2 linked regions of the Schizosaccharomyces pombe genome follow. The protein of the gene in region 1 binds, or shares a complex with, the protein of each later gene. Each region holds a gene or a part of one and is shown on either strand. Other genes may lie near its edges.

Region 1 (4,198 bases):
ATGACTTTTGAGAAGCCTCAATTGGGTAAGGTTGATTCCACGGTGATTAGTTAAGAAAACTGTGTAAACCAAAAGAGAATCATGCCTCTTTACCAATTGACTTGAATCTAACTTTTACTAATATTAATTTAGGCCAATTCGTCCTCACGCCTGAGCCATCTAGTAATACATTCTATGCCCCCTCTTCGCCTGCTTCTGCAGTGAGAAGAGAGCCACTTTCTCCAATGTCTTTTGTACGGATGCGTTCACATCGCGTTAATAAAATTGGCCGTTCTAGTCAACAATGTGACCATGTCCTATCCACGGTTGATAAAGCAATTTCTCGTGTACATGCTATTGTAACTTGTACACAAGACCGCATGATTATTGAGTGCGTGGGTTGGAATGGGATGATTGTGTCTGATAAAATGAGGAAGTCAGTATTCCACATGAAGAAAAATGATCGGATTGTCCTGGTAAGACCGAATTCGGATGCTTGTCCTGTACTGGATGTATTCGGTTACCGAGTTCTTCTTGGTTGGCCAAGTGATTCTGAAGATGAATGGGAAGGAAATCTTAATGCTAAAAATTATGAAGAAAATCGTGAACCTATGTCTCCTTCACCTCAAGAAGCTTTACCTTTGATGCCTTCATCACCTCCTTCTCAAGACTATCAAAACGATCAGAATCATCTCATATTGTACACTAATTCCGAATCCATTCCTAAGCTAAACTTGCGTAGTAACGAATTAGTATATCCTCCTCCATCCAAAGATTTGTTACAAAAGCTTCTTGCCTTAGAAAAAGATGGTCAGGTGGAAAAGTCTGATTGTTCCAAAAATACACAATTAAAACCATCTTTTCTCCCAAAGAACACCGACGATTTACTCAATGGCACTGATGATAATAACATCGTTTTAAGAGAAGTTAAGGTTTCTTTTGAGAACGAAAAAATCGAGAGTGATGATCTTGATAAAAATGAGGAAATTAGTGAAGGTGAAGAATACACTCCAATTGAAGAGTCAAAAGAGCCTATAACAGTAAGACGGGATAGCGTTATACAAATTGATGAATCGTCCGCTGGACTAACGGACGTTATCTCTGAACTTAATTTTACAAACCATAATGATGACTCAAAGAATTCTAATATTACAACTTCAAATGATTCCCCAGTGAACGAAGTTGAGCCAATGGCTCCTGAATTGAGTTCAGCAGTTGTGGAAAAGAAGGAACCTGAAGACTACGAAAGCATCTCTGCTGTTGATGAGAACACTAATGACAGTAATGAATCCCTCCCTTCTAGCCATGATTACTCAGAATCAACAAAAGAAAATTCAGCTCCCGATAGCTTATTATTAGGATTGGTTTTAGATGAATTGGTTTTCTCAACAACTTCAACTACTCCCCTTCCTGCACTTTCGCATTTATTTCCTTCCAATATGCCACTTCAATTAATTCAGGACAAGCTTCGAGACTTGGCAGCCAAGCACCCCTACTTTGAAGAGGTTAAACGTTACGGAACTGATGCTAATGGTGATCCATTGTGGAGTGAATGGTTTTATAACCCAGATGTGGATGATGATTTAGAACGGCGTATGAGATATGCTCCATTAATGAGACCAGTAAGATCCTCACGTCGTGTACATAAACAATATTATTGGAAAAAGCCCCGAGCTCGTCCACGTTCATCGGGACATTCTTCTAGGCGTCGTCGTCTTTCATAACGAATTGAATGCTGGCATCAGACACGACCCCTATAAAATTTCGCTTTTTGATATTGTATACATTTCGTTATTACGAATGGAATTATTAGATTTTTCAAATGGGGTTCAACAAAATACAATTGAACTCAATAGTGATTTACATTTAATATGAATTTTGGGTAAAAAAACGCATTCTTTTTTATAAAACTGTATTTACAATGTATAGAAATAAATTGCTACTTTAAGCTATTTACAATTTTGATATAGCATTCAAGTAACGTGTTACTTGCTACATGTGTTGTCATATCAAAGACAAGAAAATAAATTACCCTCATATTGGAACCAACTACGGCAAGAGAATGAGCAATACTCTTTATAATCACGTATGTAACTTCCTAAAGTTTTAGAAAACATATTAATTTGTATTTCGCTAGTGTACAAAGTTGTTTCAGTCCATTCAGCGAAGCCTCGATGAGTTAGAACGTGGTGTTCAAGATGAGAGCAACACTATATCGTTAGCTGGAATTCAGGGTATGTGTAGATGAATAATTATGGTACTTATTTTAACCAAGTTATTCATGAGACTAATGCAAATCAATTTAGGCCAGATCTCAGCTTCATTTCTGTCATTATCCAGATCCATTGATGACTACGATAGTATGGTCCAAAGGGAATTGGTTCCCGCTAAAAAAAAAAAAGCTACAATACGAATCCAAGAGTTCCGTCAAAAGCATGTTCAGTTGTTGGAAAAATTTGATGAGTTGAAGGCACACGTTCGTGACATTGCGCAAGCAAAAAATAGAAAAGAATTGTTAGGGAGGCGTGGGTATGTGAACTCTCTTGATAGTCCCTACGGAAATTCAACAACGGATGCAGAAATTGTGGAAGGGCCATCAGATCTAAGCAGACAAGATGGTTTATTAAAGGAGCATGATTTCCTTGGTCGTGCAGAATCTCAAGTTGACGAATTTCTAGAACGTGGGCGGATGATTCTTGGTGATTTAGTTGAGCAGGGAAGCGTTTTAAAAGCTACTAAGACAAAAGTACTGAATGCCGCCAATACCCTTGGCATTACTCGCCATACTCTATCTTTAATCAACCGTAGGTCCAAACAAGACAAGATTATATTTTATTGTGGAGCATTCCTTGTATTTGTCCTCTTTTACTTGATTTACAGGTGGTTACGCTAACATGTTCATGTCGTTGGCTTGTTTAAATTTACTATTCTTATATGATATGGGGCAGTACAACAAAATCAAAGATGATTAAAAAATTTGAAGAGCTTCTTGAGAGTTAAATTTTTTATTAATTATTTTTAAAAATAAGCTATACATTTTGCACTTGTTAGCTTCTCCTTGCAAGCTATTACTGTTGTGTTTTTTTCCTTCTGTTTATGACATTCCACTAATCACGCACTTATGGGCCTTTTAAATCTAATTCTTTCTTTGTGTTTTTTTAAATCCTTAGTTTGTCAATCAATTAATACCGTTGCGGTAATGCTTGACTAAAACACCTTCTCTTCAGGCGGTTGCTTTGAAATGCTTCAATTGTGATTCCATTTCATTTTATTTTAATATCCAAGAGAAAATTAACTTACCAATGGGCAATAGTTTTTTTTCCTTAGTTTCTTCGTAATTTGCTCAGTTAAGCTATGTATTAAAAATAATAAAATAGACTAAAACTAATTGTCATCACGAACCGTTAGTTGACGACTGTTTTACACTATTTTTATTGTCAACCGTTTTCAATGCAACTTAAGAATTTGTCGAAAGCCAATTGAAATTTGTATTCATATATATTAATTTTGTACCATATATATTGTAATAACTGTATTGGATGAAGTTAACTTTTACTAAAGAAACTCGAGACACGTTTGTTAAAATTAATATCGTTAGCGATTATCCTTTCGTATACCATAATACACCAAACTATCCTCCATTCTCATCTTTTTAAATATCTAGCGCCAATATTTAGTAATTCCTATAAGAATTATTTAATGTTTTTAAATAAGTATATATCAAACTATTCCAGAACCAGGGCTGTGAGCTGCGCTCCAGTTCTATCATACAAGAAATGTAGTTATCGAAATTTCAATGGTTTATTACAGGCAAGATTTCAAAGCAACAACTTGAGTTGGTCCAATAGAAACAGAGTGGTATATAAATCATTTCAGCCCAATCCTAGAGACAAGAGGTTTCAATGGATTTTTGGTGCTCTTATTGCAGGAGGAGGTGTATACTATTTTACACATTTGGAATACGTTCCTATAAGTAACCGTCGAAGGTTTAATGATGTTTCTTTAGATTTTGAAAAGCGAATGGCACAAGACGCCTACAAAGAAGTAATGTCTGAGTACGGAGACCGTATGTTACCAAGTTACCATCCTACTACCCTTTATGTTTCACGTGTCCTTAAAAGAATTATAGCTGTTTCTGGTATGTCTGATTTGAAATGGGAGTTACATGTAATTCGAGACCCCACACCTAATGCGTTCGTCTTACCCGGAGGGAAGGTCT
Region 2 (4,857 bases), 1.1 Mb from region 1:
AAGAAACTCTTACAGTTTTCACTACTAAACCTGAAACAATAATAGATGTTAGTTTTATAGCTCTTTCAAAAAACCATAAACTTGTTTTACTAGAATCCCAAAAGGATCCTTCGTTGGCAGAACATCTTCGCAATGAATCCTTACTAGACAAAGGATATCAGCTCCCGTGCTTTGCAAAAAATCCAGTAACTGGCAAAGCTTTACCAATATTTTATGCTCCTTACGTTTTGGACTGTTATGGTACTGGCGCCGTTATGGGCGCACCTATTCACGACCGCCGAGATTTTGAGTTTGCTAAGCGTAATAACATAATATTTTCTAAAGAAAGTTGTATAGGTTCATATTTTACAAATGAGGGAAAAGAACTTTTGAATCATCATGATTCTTCGAATTTAATGGATATCAAGCAAAAAATGCTTCAGCAAAAGATTGTCAGTTACCTTGAAGAGAAGAAATTAGCCAAACGTGTTAAAAATTATAGACTCAAAGATTGGCTTATATCAAGACAAAGATTTTGGGGTACTCCTATACCAATGGTTCACTGCGAAACCTGTGGTGCTGTCCCAGTCCCTGAATCTGAACTTCCTGTAAAGTTGCCTGATCTTGATAAAATATATGAAAAAGGTACTTCGCCGTTATCAAATCTAGAAACATGGATGAAAACAACCTGTCCGAAATGTCATGGCCCAGCAACAAGAGAAACTGATACTATGGACACATTTGTAGACTCATCATGGTATTATTTTCGTTTTTTGGATTCTAAAAACTCGGAGCTTCCTGTAGGTTTAGCAAGTGCGTCCTCTTTGATGCCTGTTGATATTTATATTGGTGGCGTTGAGCATTCAATACTTCATCTTCTATATTCCAGGTTTTTTTCAAAATTCATGAAGGATATTGGGTTATGGAATGGTGATAAATATTTAAATGAACCATTTACTCAACTAATTACTCAGGGGATGGTTCATGGTCTTACTTATACAACGATGTCGGATGAACGAATACTTAATCCAAAAGAAGTCCAGAAAATTGGAGACGAATATTTTCTAATCAGTAATCCTAAAGAGAAAGTTCAACTTTCTTACCAGAAAATGAGCAAAAGCAAGCATAACGGTGTAGATCCGATACGTACTATTCAAAAATATGGCTCAGACATTATTAGAGCTTACATAATATTTTCAGCTCCAGTGGAAGGCGTACTCCTTTGGAATGAAAATGCAATAATGGGAACAAAACGGTGGTTAACCAAAATATGGAATTGTGTTCATCAGTTATTGGAACGTGAGAAAAAAATGTCTGATGCGATGAGACAAACGAAGTTAACTATTGTCGACGATCACAATAGCAGGAAACTCGAATCACAATATAATGAATTTATTTCACAATGTTCTGCTCATTATGAAAATGTATTTTCTCTCAATTTAGTAATTTCTGACGCCATGAAATTGACTAATAATATAGCAGATGCTTTAAAAAATAACAAAGTCAATATCGGAACAATTAAAGCATCTTTGGAAGTGCTTGTGAAATGTATTGCTCCAATAATACCTTGTTTTTCAAGTGAGTGTTGGTTGCTGCTAGGACATAATTCTTCCGTTTACTCTAACTGGCCCATTTCCAAAAATAAAAAGGAGAATATGGAGGAGCCCGTTACTATTCCTGTCCAAATTAATGGTAAGGTGAGATTTAAGATTGAAATGCCCAAACTCAATGATGAAAATGAAATACTAAATTTTGTGCTTGAGACGAATGATGGGAAACGTTGGCTCTCTAATAAAAAAGTTTTAAAATCTTTTGTGAAACAAAAAATCATCAGTTTAGTCACCGACTGAAAGTTGGTTGAGACACGAGCTTCATGTTTCAAAATAATTTTGATATTTACCATAACAATGCAATGTTGGTTGCGTAGTTAATTTAATGCTTAAAATTCATTTTGAATGAAAAATATCCTATCTTAATATCACAATGTTTTCTAGTAGCATAGCTTTTCTATCACTGGTATATTTAGGAATCTCTACGTAGTGGGATACTTCTCTAAACTACATACTAGTAAGAACGTCATCTGAAAGCCACATTAATCAACAGAAGAGAAACGTTTGTTTTAAAATCATAACTTAAGCTACTAATTTTTCTCTTATAAAAATTTGAAGATCTCTTTAGCCATGAAGTCTATGCTTTTGAGAGATTCGGTGAAAAAAGCGTCTCAGTTCCAAAGATCGTTGCACAGTGATCCTAACCAAGCTAAAATTCTGCTAGAGGAAAGAAGGAAGCTTCTTGAAGAAGCCAACTCTTCAGCTGACGAAAATGACTCGCATTCAATGGCTACTATCAAATCACATTTTGAAAGACTAAAACGAGATGAGCAACTTCTTAATGGCGTTTTGAAAAAATATGATGCGAAACAGGAAGTTCTATCTCCTGAAGAATTACGAGATGCACAAAACTTTTTAGAAATGCAAGAGGCAAACTCTTTAGACAATTCTATTAGAGGCACTAATGAGCTTCTTGAAAGAGCTTATGCTACGAGGGAAGACTTTGATTACCAAAATAGCGTCTTAGGAAATGTGACCAATCGCATAAACGGGGCGGCCATGTCAATCCCTTTTATTAATCAAATATTAAGGAAAACCTCGATCCGTCGAAGACGTGATTCTATCATTTTAGCTTTACTCATATCTGTCTTGATGCTTTTGTTCCTTTTTTTTCATTAAGTTGCATGTTTTATGAAACGTTTATGAAGGGCATTGATCCCGCCAAAGTTATGAATATGTCATAAAGGTTTAATTAAGATGAAATAATATAAAAGTCCTTTTACTTTTAACCAACGTTTTTATTTACCAAAAACTTAATCGCTGTCTTCAGGTTTTCAATTTCGACATTAGTTGGATCACCGGTTCCAAGCCAGCGAATTTTGCAGGAATCGTCAATTAAATACACATTTCCAACAAGTTTGTTGTTCCATCCTATTTCTGGGAAACTGAACTTATTGTCGTATGCTGTAATATATTCATTCTGCTAGTTAGCAAAAGGTTATAAATTTTGGAAGTAAATAAATCTATCTTATCAAGCGAACAAACTTGTGAGCAGCTTGGACAAATAATGCGTCTACTTACCCAGCACTTTTCTGGTATTGATCTTTTAACTTTTCCTATAAATATCTTCTGTAGCCAATATTTTATTAGATTGGATTGAACATTTGCATAACGAACTGGCAGATAATCAAATGGAGCTAGATGTTGAATCCAATTCCTACATTGGTTTTCTCCAAACGCGTTGCTAAATAATGCAAAGAAAAAGGGCGAGCCTTGCCAATCTTTATATAGCTCTTTGTACTGATTTCGTAATGACTTCCCATGAAAGTTGTACATCCATAAGGCGCTCTAAAACGTGTCAATATTTTTAAGCAATAAACTAATTTTTTTTCATTCTTATTTGAAATTTCCAGAAATGAATATTACTTTTAACCAATTGTTCATACCTTCTCCTTAAATAATCTTGGAGGACTGTAAAACAGCTTACCATTAAATCGACGAACTTCGTTGAAATCTTGAATAGTTGATCTCTTCATTTCATTCAGCAGCTCCTTCTGTCTTTGCTCAGGAGAAGATGTACTCGCGGGTTTGGTAAGTTTTTCCCATAATGTTGGCTTTTGGACTTCAGAAAGCATCGTCGGTTTTACCAGTAAACCTACTGGAATGAGAGCAGATGGGGCTTTTTCTTTTGTATCATTGAGACTTTTGGTGCTAAAAGAACGCAACTTGAACTGATGCTTAACAATCAACCTCGGAATGACTAAATTTTTTAAATAATTATATGCCATGTTTACCAATTATAGGTAGATTAAAGGGGAAATAATCTTTAATTTATTATGCGATTTAAGAAACGCAAGGATGAACTTAATTATTATTATAAACTTCAATAGATAGGTATAGCAGAAAGGAGCTGTTGTTACAGGTGGAAGTACTCTGACGTTAAAAATTCATATCTTAATTTTCATTTTGGTTTTTTAATTTGTTTTTGGACATTAGTATATATCTACGATAAAGGTTTTCTCCTTTTAATTTCATTGTAATATAATTCAAGACTAAAATTGGCTTTTCATTGGATTGCGAATCTTTCATTGAATACTATCTTTTCAACTTACATTGAACGTGCATGTAAGGATAGGAAATGGAATGCTGAGATAATGAACAATACAAACCTTTCTAATTAATTCAATGTTTAAAGCAAACTCATTTAGCGAAAAATTCTAGCTTATTAAAACAGCTGTCAACCAGGGCGTAGAGATTACAATATAAAGACCTTACTTACCCTTCTTAATGTACTACAATACAAAATCATAGTTAAAAGAGTAGCTTTTTACGTCCCTGCCGACTGTTTATGTAGATGCATGAAAAACTATGAGAATATAATTTAGTAATCGTTTATATAAGCTAATACGCATTAATATTATATTAATTCATAATGCTTAAAAATCAAAGCAATTTCAATTTCCAAGTGGGTTAGAAAGTACTAATGGGGGGTCCATATTCTCTTTAAGACATTACTCACTTGAATAGCAATTATGACTTCGTCTACTACCTCAAGTACTATGTGGGGGGGTTGACCACTTATGAAAGTGAACCTACTAAAGTAGTTAGTGATACAAAAAAATAACTAAGTGCGCAATAATTCTCCGTCAACAAATAAATCGTTGAACTAGTATTAGTATATTGGCGTATGTAAGCTAATATAGTCGTTGTTTGCGTAAAACGAATTCAAATGGCTCCCAATCTGTGTTAATACGTTATGTTATGTATGATATAAGCACATTGAACATATCGGGATGAGTCAGTACTATTTTATTATTAACAAAATTGG

The links.
Region 2: bos1 (region 1) and gos1 share a complex: the UniProt entries of both Schizosaccharomyces pombe proteins name them as parts of the SNARE complex.

Annotation. Positions count from the first base shown.
Region 1 is NC_003424.3:1,923,061-1,927,258, forward strand, and holds bos1 (SNARE protein Bos1), read left to right. Parts: upstream 1-2,020; 5' UTR 2,021-2,041; coding exon 2,042-2,065; intron 2,066-2,106; exon of another isoform or gene 2,107-2,116; coding exon 2,117-2,213; exon of another isoform or gene 2,214-2,285; coding exon 2,286-2,872; 3' UTR 2,873-3,479; downstream 3,480-4,198. Other genes in the region: tos4 (transcription factor), read left to right, coding at 1-25, 133-1,703; metallopeptidase Oma1, read left to right, coding at 3,679-4,198. UniProt on the Schizosaccharomyces pombe protein: SNARE required for targeting and fusion of ER-derived transport vesicles with the Golgi complex.
Region 2 is NC_003424.3:779,328-784,184, forward strand, and holds gos1 (SNARE protein Gos1), read left to right. Parts: upstream 1-2,033; 5' UTR 2,034-2,159; coding exon 2,160-2,708; 3' UTR 2,709-2,814; coding exon of another isoform or gene 2,815-3,009; 3' UTR 3,010-3,110; coding exon of another isoform or gene 3,111-3,377; 3' UTR 3,378-3,475; coding exon of another isoform or gene 3,476-3,817; 3' UTR 3,818-4,092; downstream 4,093-4,857. Other genes in the region: SPOM_SPAC4G8.09 (leucine--tRNA (Leu) ligase), read left to right, coding at 1-1,829; atp10 (F1-F0 ATPase assembly protein), read right to left, coding at 2,815-3,009, 3,111-3,377, 3,476-3,817. UniProt on the Schizosaccharomyces pombe protein: Nonessential SNARE involved in retrograde transport within the Golgi complex.